Linked DNA regions of Drosophila melanogaster. The protein of the gene in region 2 interacts with the protein of the main gene of each other region in a pairwise test. Each region holds a gene or a part of one and is shown on either strand. Other genes may lie near its edges.

Region 1 (7,298 bases), on a different chromosome or scaffold from region 2:
GGACCGCACGCCATTTGTCCGGGGTAGGATGGTAGAAAAAATAGTTTACGTTTTTACGACAGCGAATAAAAATACGATGTTTCTGATAAAGTTCAAGGACTCGCCCGTGGTGGAAGTGGTTCCAGGTATCGAGGCCAACAGACGCATTCCCCAAATGGTGATCGAATTCTACATGGACCACCTATCCTTGCCCCCGCCCGAATCCCGGAAAGGCAATCCAAGAAAGAGAAAAGCCAGCGAGGATGGATGATTTATAATTAAATTCAATTATGCAGCAAACGAAACACGTTGTTTTTGGTTGCCTATCGTCTGGGCGGAGTTTTCTTTTCGCACCTTACCGCTCGAATCGATCATGAAAATTTACGACGCTGTTGGCCATAAAAGCCAAGCAGGGAAAACTAATTAGGCAGATATCAAATTCGGATTAATGGCTCTCAAAGAACCATAAAATCCTGGAGCGCAACAATTAGGATGCGTATCTCCGGATATGTGAGAGTTGGCAATTGGCTTGGAATGCCGGCAAATATGTTGTGTCAACCATAAAAGCCAACTTGAATGCTTTCGGCACTCTGGCCATGAAAACCAATGCAAAGTCGTTAGTCGTTAAAACCTACAAGAAGTTCTGCCCCTCAAGATGTCGATTCCTGGCGAGATGATGAAAAAGTTTGAGCGGTTGGCCGGGGAGTTTGTTTTATGGCCGCACTTCGGGAATTACTTTCCATTTATAAAATTTTAATCTGGCCCATAAATAAGCATTGCAATTGGACTTCGTGTACTTTTTGCCCGACTAATGGACTGTTCTCAGGCCAAAGTTTTTAATTTAATGCATCATCGTAAAATCCCGCACTTTGTTTGGCGTACAAATATTGTATTGTAGTTTGCCCCACTGGTTTGTATCTGACTTTGATGTCGGCGGATCAATGTGGATCAACTTTTTCATAAGCAGCACACGTAGACAAATTTAATGTAAATTGAATGGAAATTAGAAAAGCGTGTTTTATTGTATATGCTTCAGGTGAATACTTAACCTGAAGGTCATCGAAAAGAGATTTGAGTGGAAACTAGCTTAATGATAGCTACTATTGATTTTTTGATGTGCATTATTTTGGAAAAGTCTGGGCCGCAAGTGAATACGACGGCCTAATCCATTTGGCGGGCCTTTTTCAATTAAAATAAATTAAACGCAAATGTCAAAACTGCTTTCGGGGAATCCCCCGCCGCCGACCGTCGCTCTGTCACAATTTGGGCAGCTTTGGGGCTTTGACAGGTCCGCGGGACAGATGATGAACTACAAATTGGACGGCGGTGGTTGGGTGGCTCACTGAGATCGGTGGCTTGGTGGGTGGTGGGTATGATGCCCCAGTCATGGGAAAGTTTTGCGTCATTTTGGGAGCAGGCAAGTCTGGTTGGTTGGGCGCCTTAAGCAAGCTTAAAAGTTGCTGGCAACAAAGTTGGTGGGCTGAGTTGGCGAACAATAAGCAGTAAAACAACGGATTTGAAGGATTTTGAAACAATAATGCTAAGCGGCAAAAGTAAATAAAACGAAAGTGAAATAAAATATTCGCCGGCGAAAGTCCCTAAAACGCTTTTTGCTTACGTGCGCCTTAGTTGAATTTTATTTTAACAATTCTCGGCGGAGTTTCGTTTTTGTAATTCGAGAGCTTAAAAAGAAACTCTTTGAAAAGATTCGGGGAATATTCCTAAGCTTGTCAACAAGGTGGTTTATTTTTTATTACTCAGCAAAGTTGCCTAAGTGGATTGAGAGCAAAGTTATTCAATGTTTAGTGTCTATTAAGCAACTCGCTCATCTTGCATAGTTCATCTATTGTATAATAAGGCTCATGTGATTTCAAATTGTAAATAATTAAGAACTATGCACCGAATAAAAGGCTATTATTTTGGCTCTCAACTAAATCCGATGCCACAAAATCGTGCTCTTGGTCCAGCGCTGCAACGATTCGCAGACGGGAAGCTCAAGTTTGGCCTAATCTCTTATTCGCTCTTGACTTGGCGTCATTTTAGTCATTAAAACAGGTTCAGACTGAGTAATCTGCCAGCCACTTCAGGCCAAAAGCGAAGGGAATGGCCAGATTCTTCCACTACGCTGCCTTAGTTAGTTGCCCTCTAATAAACTGGCAGCGGAAATTTTTAACAAGTTGTTGCCAGTGCACAAAACTGGGCTGTAATTAACGCAGGACAGATGCCGCGCAGGGCAGGGAGGGGGAAATGGGGATTCGGGATGCAGGATGATGGTGGCCAGGAGGAGCTGGTGGAGTAGCATCGTCTGGGTTAGACGAGATTTTGCATATCAGATTGCTGCCCCGGCTCCAGTTTGTCCCTGCCCTGTGATTTAATAATCAGAGCTGGCTGTCAAAACTATCCAGCAACTGCAGCGCTGCGAAAGAATTGTCATATTTGTTGATAAGCTGAATACCCTACAGCAATCTAAAGTTTATATAATAAATATATACAAAATATACCGACAAACCTTAAGTATCCAATTGGATACTTAAATAATACTTAATACTAATACTTAGACTTAACATTTAGATAGTCCAGTAAACTATTATGCTTCGTGACCAATAAAATAACAGTGAGTGGTTTCATGTACTCATAGTTAGGGTATGTTTGGATGAAGGGCTTAGCCAGCTCGTTTCTTTTGCCTCGATTTTTCCTTTCCAGCCCGCCTTTCTCCGAATTGCTTCCGCCCCCTTAGTTTTCCATTCGAAGGGCGGGGGGAATGCAGGCTGCAATGGAAAGCGCGTGCAAAAATGAAATGTGCCAATGTGGCGGATGGGAGATGCGGAATGGGGAATGGGAAATGGAATTCGGTGGTTTGGGGAATGCGGAGGCCAAGTCCTCGGCAATTTGCATAAATTTAGATCAGTGACACATGGCGTCCACTAATGGAGGCAGTGGGAGCAGCCGGAGTGACTGCGACTGCCACTGGGATGGGACATATATCACGGGGGGTATCAGGCCAGTCGACCCGCGGACTCAAACAGTTTGGCAAACATTGCCAATTGGCCTTTAATTAGCGGCTAATCCGTTTGCCACCGCCTGCGAGTGGGCGTGGTCACTGCGAAAGCACCTTCTATGCCATTCCCCACTCGTTTTGGTCCCAATTTCGCATCTCGGCAGGTGGCGATGATGACCCTGCCCGGCAGTCCAATTAAAATGTCGTGTATCTCTGCGGTGGCGCCACTGCCACTGCCACTGCCACTGCCCACAGAAGGTCCATTGGATTCCACTTGGGTGGCCGGCGAAAGTGCCGCTGCGACCACTCTCACCCACTAACCATGAAATGCCAATGGAATCGGAGACTGCGAATTGCCGCTGCGGATTGTCCAGTGGAGCGAAACTTTCAAGCGGAATGCGATATTTTGATGGGAACAAGATGTCCAGCTTTCTGATCTTGTGATCTTGTTTTGATTAAAGTACATTTTTGATACACTTGTAAGATGCCTTAGAGACTTAACTCCACAATCATTCGAGCTCGTTTAGTGTGCTCATTTACACATTACACTAAACTATTTATTGGAAATAATAAACTCTTTTTGAACACATAATGGCTCTGGAAGCGATTTGCGGCATGAATAAAATGCCTTTTATGCGGCGCTTCGATGACTTGCAGTCCGAATGGCAGAAGGAGCAGCTTCGCGAGGCAACCAGTAATTTTGAGAATCCCTACGAACTGATGGCGCCTCCCTTCGAAAGAGTTAGTATAGGTTTCATAATCCAAAAGATCCATCTAAGATTGAAACTCTTCTCAAGCCCGCTGAAAATCTGCCCAAGATCCTGTCGCACTGTGGCATTCGCATGGATTTCGATCACGGCACCACCACTCTGGGTTTCAAGTATCGCGGAGGAGTGATTCTGTGTGCTGATTCTAGGGCCACCTCTGGCCAGTATATTGGATCCCAGACGATGAGGAAAATAGTCGAGCTGAACGACTATATGCTGGGCACATTGGCCGGCGGAGCCGCCGATTGCGTCTACTGGGATCGGGTTTTGGCTAAGGAGTGTCGCCTGCACCAGCTGCGCTATCGGAAACGCATGACCGTGGACACGGCTGCCCGGATCATCTGCAACATATCCACGGAGTACAAGGGCATGGGTCTGGTGATGGGCATGATGCTGGCCGGCTTCGACGACGAGGGACCCAAGCTGATTTACGTGGACTCGGAGGGCATGAGATCCCATGGTCAAGTCTTCTCCGTGGGCAGCGGTTCTCCATATGCGCTCGGCGTATTGGACACTGGGTACCGCTATGATCTCTCCGATCAGGAGGCCTATGACCTGGCCAGGCGAGCGATTTACCATGCGACCAGTAAGGATGCCTATTCTGGTGGAATCGTGCGTCTCTACCACATTCATTCGGAGGGCTGGCGAAATATCTGCAATACGGACTGCTCCGATCTCCATGACTCGTATTGCGCATCTGGGTGTCCGGGGAACGAGAAGGATGTAGGAAACGTAGGCGATCCCGACAATGATAAGCCCTGTTCCAGTGGCTGGACGAAGAAGAATATCACAGCAGACAATTTGCAGACTAAGCTGGCAACGGTATGAAAATTTGGAAATTATTGGAGCAACATTAGCAAAAATTTCTGTGGAAGTAAAACTTCTGTCGTGCAAAACGTATAAAGTGTTAGTGTTTATGGTAATGGGAATTTGTGGCAGTGAAGAAGTCCGGAATTTATCGTGAGAATAGTTTTCCGAACCGTATGCTGGATTGTTCTATCTAATCCTCTTCAGTTCTAAAAGCACACATACAGATACATTTCAAAGTTTTAGCCACTAATAATGAAAACAAGAGCTGCATACATACAAATGCCTTTCGCCCCGCACTCGCCACACTTTAAAAGCTGTGCTTCTATCTAATTTTTTTCACTCCTCAAACTCCCCTCTCTTCCATCCTCCACTGCGGAAAATATACGAGCAACTTTCGCTCGCTAAACGAACTTTTCCTATAAATCAAAATAATAACTTCTAAGCTCGCAATGACTTTCCCCAAATGGGCGTGCCGCACACAAAATACGGCCAACGAAATGTTCGCCGAAATGTTGCACTCCGTGTCTTTGGGTTGTCATCAACAAATGTTGCAGATGCCACTGCCTGGAGACTCCGTCCGGGGGATCTGCTCCTCACTGCCCATCCCCTCCCCCTCCCCCGCCGGAAAAGCGCAACCGCAGACATTAGCAGGCGTAGGTCATTCTCTCCCAAACGCCCCACTGGGTGGTGACCCTCATCCTCATCTTTATCCCCATTATCGTCCTCATCCTCATCGGGATCTTCCTCCTCCTCGTTGCACGACTGTTAAGGCGCTCTGAGCATGCGATAAATTTAATAAATTACAAACCAAATCCGCAAATTTGTTGAATTCCAAAAGAAGAGGAAAGAGCACCAAATGACTACACGGAGGAAATACGAATATTAAATATATTATTAAGCAAATATATCAAATGCACAAAATGATGTGCAAGTAGACATAACTCTCAAGAACGGTATTTTTGTAAGATATATAATTTGTGCTATGCACTATAACTTTTCTCTCAGTGCTTAAGGAGTTGGTGGTGGCAGCATTTGCACGGCGTTTTGGGCACATGTGAGTTGCAGAACGTGTGGTGAAACAGCTGGATTGTGGGGGGGCTGGAAGGGAGGCGGAGCAACATCGGGCCAAAAGGCGTTTTGTGGCAAAAAGTTTTACTGTAAATTGCTTTTAATCTAATGAACGTCGCCAGCAGGAGCTGCAAAACTGGGGGGGAATGGAGACAACTTGCCAGCCCCCAAGTCGTCCTCGAGAGTCATTTTTCCTCTGTGGTGTCATTAGAAAATTACTTAAAGCCAAAGCCGTGTGGCCCAAGTTCGGAAAATCCTCATTGCGGGTAAGTGGAGCAAAAGTGGCGGAAAAAATGTTGCAACCCGGGTTAATGGGTCAAAACTATTTTCCGGCAGCACTAGATTTGTGTACTTACTTCCATGGTGGCAAGAAGTGGCCACGCACAAATTTTCCAAACGCGTTGAACAACAAAACGTAGAAGTGTATTAAATTTCTAATATTTTAAAATGCCAAAGGTTTTACTCTTTAAAGAGTGGACTTAAAATTAAAATTTTCAGTTTAACTACCTGGCTGCAATCTCTACTGAAAATCGCTGTGCGAAATATTAGCATACAATAATGAAGTGGTTGTTTTCAAAATAACGCAAACTAATTGATAGTATCGATTTTCCCAAATTAGCTGGTTTCCTTCTCCATTACAAAATTCGCCCCAGCCTTCAGCTAATATGGCATAAAAAGCTTGTCGAAAAAAAAAAACGCAGCAACCATAATTTAAATTAATTTGCAAACAACAAGAGCGGCAGCAACAACAAGCTGCAACACCTGCGATGTTGCTGCTGCGCGTTGTTGCTGCTGCAGTTGTTGCGTTGTTGCTGCTGCTGCTGCCATTCCACTTTTGTCAACGAGCTCAAATTCAATGAAATTTCACACTTTGTCGTTAAAAGCGCGCCGCTTGCAAGAGGTGGAAAGTCCGGAGGGGGGCGTTAACTGTCAGGCATAAGGATGCAAATATGCAAATGGATTTTGCTACGGAGCGGCGTAGGAGGAGCAGGGGGAGGAGGAGGTGCATCCGAAGACGGCGGAGATCGTAAGAGTCTGCCAGAGTGTTTGACAAGCAAGCGTGACTGCTCGCTGGGCGGAGACTGGCGGAGTGGGCAGGGATGTTGCCTGCCGGTGATGATGATGTTGCCCCTGTCACCGGCCGAAGCTGCAGCAGCAACACTTGGCCAACAGCTACACACACACACACATAGATGGCGGCTCGGGAGACAGCGGATGTGGCAGCGATGCCTCGTTTGGCAGTTTCATTAACCGACTGCGGAGGGGCAGCAGGCGATGGGTGGCTACACGACACCAGGCCAACTGCAACTGCAACAAGAACAGCAGCAGCAGAAGCAGCAGCAGCAAATGCAAATGCAAATGCAACATCATCGCCCATATTAGGAGCAGCAGCTACAACAAAATCAGTGCACAGCGAAAAACTGAAGGGGATATATATATAAATATTTAAGCAATATTTAATAGTGCCCAGAAATGGAGGGGGTTTTGATGATTCATATGGTTCAGAGATTGATTGTCATGGTATCGATGTAAGAAAGTACCTATTCATAAGAAATATTCTAATAGATTTTCCTTGTACAAGTTGACAAGGTATTTCTTGCAGTGCAACAGCAGCAACATCTTCTCCGCCAGCAGCGTCAAATGCACTTCCAATTTATCAGCTCTGGGCTGCCAGT
Region 2 (6,365 bases):
TGGATTTGATTTGATTTGGTTTTTGTCATTTTCATTGATTGCTGTTCATCACTTGAACAGTTCCAATCGCTTTCTTTTGGTCGGTCCTGATGCTCCACCACTTCTCGCCGATCGCGTTTGACAAGCTGCTGCACTTGTGGATGAATTCACCGGCGTACTTGGTGCACTAACCGATTCCACGGAGCTGGTCTGTGAGGCTCCACCGCCGAAGACGGAGCCAAACCAGCGTGTTAGTTTCGTGGCCTGAGTGGATTTAGCACCCTGTTTGGGAGATTTGGGTGACTTGCGCAGCGATGCAAGAATGGAATTGCGATTACCATTCGAAGGTTGCGTTCGCTCCTGCGTAATTCCAGAACCTATCAAATAATTGGTGATTTTATTGGCCTGCGACGGCCTGACGGACTGTTGATCCGGTTGCACGGGCGATACTTCGCCAGAGGAGTTCAATCGCATGCGACTGCCAAATTGGCCATTGTTCGTTATCTCAAAGAAGTCATCTTCCAGCAGGGTTCTTCTTCTCTGCGTAATGGTAGACTCTGCATCATCCTTCTGGGTCAGTGGCAAGGTTGGCAAGACTTTGGGACTAGTTTTAGCCGACTGCTGTTGTCGTGGCTCGAACATTTGCTCCAGGATATCCAAACACGAGCGATCTCGCTTCTTTTTTGGCACCGATATATTTACTTTCGCTAGCTGCTGCTGAAACTGCTTCACCTCAGAGCCAAAGATCTTAAAGCCTTCGAAGGGCGATGAGGGTCTTGGTTGCGCCAGCGGAATCTGCGAGTGTTCCGAGGATATGCTAAATAGATCTGGAGATTTGTTGGCACTCCTCTTGGCCGGTGGTAGACCCAATCCGCCGCCGAAACTTGAATTGACGGACGTCACGGGTTTGCGTTTTCTTTTCAAAGCCTTGGTGCGACGACTCTGCGATGGATCCTGCGGAGAACACTCATCGTGCGAGCTATTGATCACCACTGTCTCAACTGGATCTTTGTAAAGCGGAATAGACACCACCTCAGAATCGTTGAGCAAATTGTGTGTAGACGGCAAGGTTAGAAGCATTGGAGTTTGTTGAGGTGTAAAGGGCACACGAAAAGCGGGCGACTCAATGGCATCCAAATTGTCTGGTATTCGCTGAGCACATTGCATGTACTCCGAGGACAACGAGCTACCACTGAGAACTTGAGGAGTAGGTGGCAAGTGCTTTGAATTCGGCTTAGTCTTTGTCTTCCCCAAATCTTCAGTCTTGGTTTGGCATTTTCTCGGACGTCCAGGCTTTCGTTTCGCAGTTCCTTGAGCAGGTACATCCACCGTCTTCTGTTTCTTTTCCTGCCCGACTTTAGACTTAGGCTCCTGCTTCACTATTTGTTTGCTACTTCTGGGCGTTTGGTTACCCTCCAACTTGACTCTCCTTGGAAAGCTACGCTTGACATCATCCAATGAGCGATGTTTCAAGTACTTACTGTTTATTTTTGTTTCAGCGGATCGTGTTAGGCGCTGCATTCCCCTTGTGGCTGGACGACCCACATCCACTGGGCTCACCGTGCGCTTTTTCAGATTTTTTCTTCTAGCTGTGGGCTCCGTTTTGGGCGTTACGATCGCAGTAGTGGTTCTGGACGGTGGTGGTGTGCTCAGAGTATCGAGGGAAACCCTTAAAATTCGAACATTGAGTCTCCTTGTCTTAGGTGTCAGATGAACGGTGGCTGCACGAGTTCTCTTCCTTGGCGGCATATTATCGGTCGCTTCATCATCCTCTTCGGAATCGGTGAGATCAGCTTTTTTGCGCGGTGACGTTTTTTTGCTAAATTTTTTCTTTGATTTCGTCCTTGGTGATTCATTTAATGAGGGCGTTCGATTTTGCGGAGTACTTGGAGGTGTTACAATCTCACAATCATCGCTGGATACAACTAATACCGGGTTTTGATCTGCATCAGGTTCTACTGTTAGGGGTTCATCGTCAGACTCGGAATACTCGAATATCAGCGGTGACATTGCCACATCATCCACGCTGTGCTCGGATAACCTATCCGTTTCTTCAAAGAGCCCAGTTTTATTTTGCTGAGCCGGATTGTTGTCTATGGAAGCGATTGTAGAGCACACATCTGAGCCGCTTATTGTGCTCTGGCTGTTCTTTGAGGCCAACCAGAGATTCAGATTGTGTTTGTATTGCTCCGGTGCGACAAGTGGCAGTGACTTGTCGAATTGATGACGAAAACGACGCAGACGAAAGTCCCTACAAATTATATAAGTTATTTTCATATGCAACTGACTATTCCGGTCTTATGCAACAGTGAAACTGATCGTTGCTGGTTCACCTACTTGATGTACTCGCTGAGGAATCCCCGCTGCTTGTAGTATTCCTCGAGATCTATGCGCTTACTGAATACCTCCTTCGGATCTGGCAGATGGAATTTTCGATCGAAGCTCGCAAAGCTTTTGTACTGATGCTCCAGTCGGCCGCCCAACCGTAGAACATTGTAGAGCAACCTAACGTCGGACTGCAGAGAGAGAGAAACCACATAAGCTAAAATGATATAAACCATATTATGAATGCATTGCCTCACCGTAACGTCAACACTGGAGATAAGAACGTTTACCCGTCCCTCGAATTGCTTCAGCAGCATGGAAGTGCAAAAGCTGTTGTTCAGCGAATGCCCCCGATTATCCACCATAATGTAGTCGAACTTGAGGCGACTGAGATCTCCAATGCTCCGTAGTTGGCTCCATTTCGCCAGGTAAACGCTGTGCGGGGAGTCGGTGGTATCTGTAAAGGCAGAAAGTGAAGGTGTTGAAGTTTAATTTTTAAATGGCAATAATGTGAAATTACGATAACATTCTTATCAACAAATCCATTTAAATATTAGGCATTACCTTGCACCCCCTGAATGATGTACACCTGGAGGTCAGTGAGAGTGTCCAAATGGAATCGCCAACCGGTGAGCAGTTGCTCATCGTTCTGGAGCACCACAAGTGTTTTTTTGGCGGGTGGTAGGGCACTTAGAAGTGCCGCCACCGTAGCGACCTTTCCAAGGCCACTCTCATCATTCAGGATGCAGAATTCCCGCTTAGCCAAACGATCGTAGACGAAGCGGACGGCATCCAGTTGAAAGCTCTTGAGGTACTGCGTCACGTGGCTCGTGACCAGTGCCTCATCTGTGAGCCGCACCTCCGGCGTTTGCTCGGATACAAAGTGATACATGATCCTTCAGAGAATTCGAATCAATGGTGTGCGTGATGCAGGGCCAGATAGATGGCAACCAGGATGTAGAATAGTTGCAGGTACGAGAAGATCACGAACATCGAAAATGAACCAATTATCATCTTTCGCGCCGCAGACGGCCCATCGAATTCGATATTCTCCGGATGCAGTATGTCCACCACGTTGTAGTTGTTGTTGATGATAACAGGATGTTGGATCTCGTACATGTGTTGAAACTAGTTAAGCTTCAATTTTTTCGGAGGACAATTTTCGTCCCTTTTGGGAAATTGGGTTAAGCGCTGTTAGTCATGGCGGGGGCGCGGGAAAAGGCTTAACAATCGAACAAGAAGAAAATATTATTTTTGGCTCCAATTCTATTTCACCATTCACACAGAACCGGCTGCGTCTTGTTGGCGCGATCAGCTGTTGGACGTTGGTAGTGTTGGCAAACGAAGCAATGTCTAGAAATAGCCAAAAGAGATACTGCTCTTGATTAATAGCAAAATATTAAAAAAAACTTACTGAACCGACAAGGATTAGTAAAATACATTAGGTTGGAAACCTTTGGCGAGTAAAATGTTTTTAAATTAAATTATTTATTCTGCCAACTCAAAACTTGTGTAAGGAATTCATTTTTATAGCTGCATTTAGCTCATCACTGTTGCAACTGTTGTGATTTCGTTTGCGGTTTGTTTCGCATGGAATTTGTTTAAATTTATTCAGACCAAATTGCCATGGCTGTTGCAAAGAAGGAAAAATTTGAGGCAAAAAAGAAAAGCCCTGAAAAGGGAAAACAGCAGAAAGCCAAAGTTGTTCCTGTCACACCGCCACCAAATGTAAAACAACGAACTGTGGTCACTCCTTGGCGAGACACGTGCGTAGACAAAAAGTGGAAACAAATCCAATCCGTTGATAAAAACATTACATTTTCAGGCTGGAATTTAATACAACGTACAAATGGTTGTTTGGCAAGTCCAACACACCAGCCACATGGCGTCAAGCGCTCAGTAAAATCCGCATTTGGTGTCTGCGAAGAGGAAGTCTCTGCCCGGCAGCGGTTTTGGCCACATCGGTGCTTGTTCAGGCGCACTTGGAGGACCAGGAGGGCAGCGCCAAAATACAGGACACCTATGCCAGTGCCTTTACACGATTCTACAACTTTATGTCCTCCATTATCCAGGGACACAACATGTCCAGCATGTATGAAACGGCCAAGGAACTGGGCCTCCAGTCGTTCATCGTTGATCTGCGCCACTTGTGCGCCCATGGACAGGAGCTGCCGCCTGTGGAGGTGCTGAGAAACACCTCGAATCATTGTCTGGAGTGGCTGCGCACCTACTACTGGTTGCCACACATGGAAACCATGTCCAATTTGGATGCTGGCAAACTGCATCGCAAGGACAAGCTTAAGTTTGAAAAGGCTGTGACAGATCTTCTGGAGATCTACGATCTAACCCTGGAGTGCCATATCAAGGGGGCTGAGAAACTAAAGGCCATTAGCAAGCTAAAATCCAGTGGTGAATTCAATAAGATACGAGTCTACTCCTCCAGCAAGAAGGCGAAGACATCGAAAGAAATTCTGAGTGCTGTGTTAGGTGATCTAAGTGCGTTGGTCAAAAAGGAGTCATCATCGATGAAGGATCTGCTGGACATATATACAAAATGCCTGCTTAAAATGAAATACTTCCTTGGCGTTGGCTTGGAAATCGACGACAACGAGGATGTCATCATTGCAGCCACACAGGGACTCTTCCGTCTATTGGCCGTGCAGGGATATATCGAGAAGGTTTTTTTGGCCCTAGTTCAACTGAGTGAAAACCAAAACGAGTCGGAGCAAAGGCGTCTGGGAGCCAGCTACTGGGCAAAGAAAATGTTGGAAACATTTGGGATGCTGTTCCGTATGAAGCGCATGTACAAAGCCGAACTGGATTTGGTTAGTATAAATACGGAGTGTGTTAACGATGAAAACACTAAAATATTCTTTATTTTCCAGAACGATAAACTAAAACCAGCGGACTTTGCCACCCTAAACACGGATAAAATTTCTAAGACAATGCGCAGTCTGTTAGTACACTCAAATGCCGATCTCTCGGTTACCCTTATTTTTGGCGACAATCCCAAAAAGTCCAGGTCTTTGATTTTTGATCGTGATTTTATTATGCAGCGTGTTGATGCATTTAGCAATTACTCAGCGCCCATTCTAAAAGGGTAGGTATACATTTTTTTTTGGGTTTACTTGCTTTTGGATTAATAAGATTGACATTTTCTTAGATTATTACCGCTCGCAGATCCTCCATACACCAAGACGCAAATTGAGGATTTAACTAAACTCTGCGATGCACAGCTTGAAGAATTTTATGAAGAGGAAGCTATGGAAGAAGATAGCTCTTCAGAGGAGAGCAACAATCTAGACCGTTTGGAACGATTTTTGGAACAAGCAGCTCAAAGCAAAGAGCATACATCAGACTGGGGAGTTTGGAAATTAGACAAGCGTAAGTTTTGATTTGGCTTTGCATTTATGTGATTTGAAAATTAATCAATTATCGCTCTTACTGTAAATGCTATTTCCAGATACCGATTGGCCCAAATGTGCATTGGGTGTGCTCCCTTGGGCTCAATAAATACGCAGATTAATATTAAATAAAGTAATTAATAAAAACTAGTACTAGATCCAGATTTGAATTTTTATTTGGCGCGCATTTCTTGTCCATATAATCATTTACCATTCACACCGAGCGCCAACATCAGCTGAGTCTGCGCTCATAGTGAATGGCAGTCGGCATCACTGACGTCAACAATTATTGGCGATTTTGGTTTATTTTGATGTAAATAGGAATAACTTCGCGCAATTATGTTTACTTTGTGGACACTGATTGAATCTTCACTCCTGTGCCTGAATGCGGTGTGCATTCTGCACGAGGAACGCTTTCTGGCCAAGTGTAAGTTCTCATACAGTATTTTTGCTTCCAATGCCACGATGTTCAATTTTTTGGCACACTTTTTAGTTGGCTGGGGACGACAGGCGGGCCAGCAGGACTTTGGAGCACCTACGGCCAAGGATCAGGTGCTAAACCTCATTCGTTCCATACGCACAGTGGCCAAAAGTGAGTACCATATTACTATGTTTCTATAAACATGATTGCTTCACCATATCCCATTCTTTCAGTTC

Evidence for each region. The genes of interacting proteins can lie anywhere in the genome.
Region 1: the proteins of CG32075 (region 2) and Prosbeta5R1 interact in a two-hybrid assay, tested with the Drosophila melanogaster proteins (one large-scale study listed by BioGRID).

Annotation. Positions count from the first base shown.
Region 1 is NT_033778.4:23,305,999-23,313,296, reverse strand, and holds Prosbeta5R1 (proteasome beta5 subunit-related 1), read left to right. Parts: upstream 1-3,480; 5' UTR 3,481-3,568; coding exon 3,569-3,718; intron 3,719-3,774; coding exon 3,775-4,572; 3' UTR 4,573-4,643; downstream 4,644-7,298. Other genes in the region: HP1Lcsd (heterochromatin protein 1L chromoshadow domain), read left to right, coding at 1-250.
Region 2 is NT_037436.4:11,062,226-11,068,590, reverse strand, and holds CG32075 (uncharacterized protein), read left to right. Parts: upstream 1-3,649; 5' UTR 3,650-3,930; coding exon 3,931-4,070; intron 4,071-4,129; coding exon 4,130-5,129; intron 5,130-5,189; coding exon 5,190-5,404; intron 5,405-5,467; coding exon 5,468-5,688; intron 5,689-5,767; coding exon 5,768-5,817; 3' UTR 5,818-5,865; downstream 5,866-6,365. Other genes in the region: SuUR (suppressor of Under-Replication), read right to left, coding at 49-2,230, 2,317-2,495, 2,562-2,761, 2,869-3,196; CG45101 (uncharacterized protein), read right to left, coding at 3,217-3,423; CG32069 (uncharacterized protein), read left to right, coding at 6,048-6,135, 6,202-6,300, 6,363-6,365.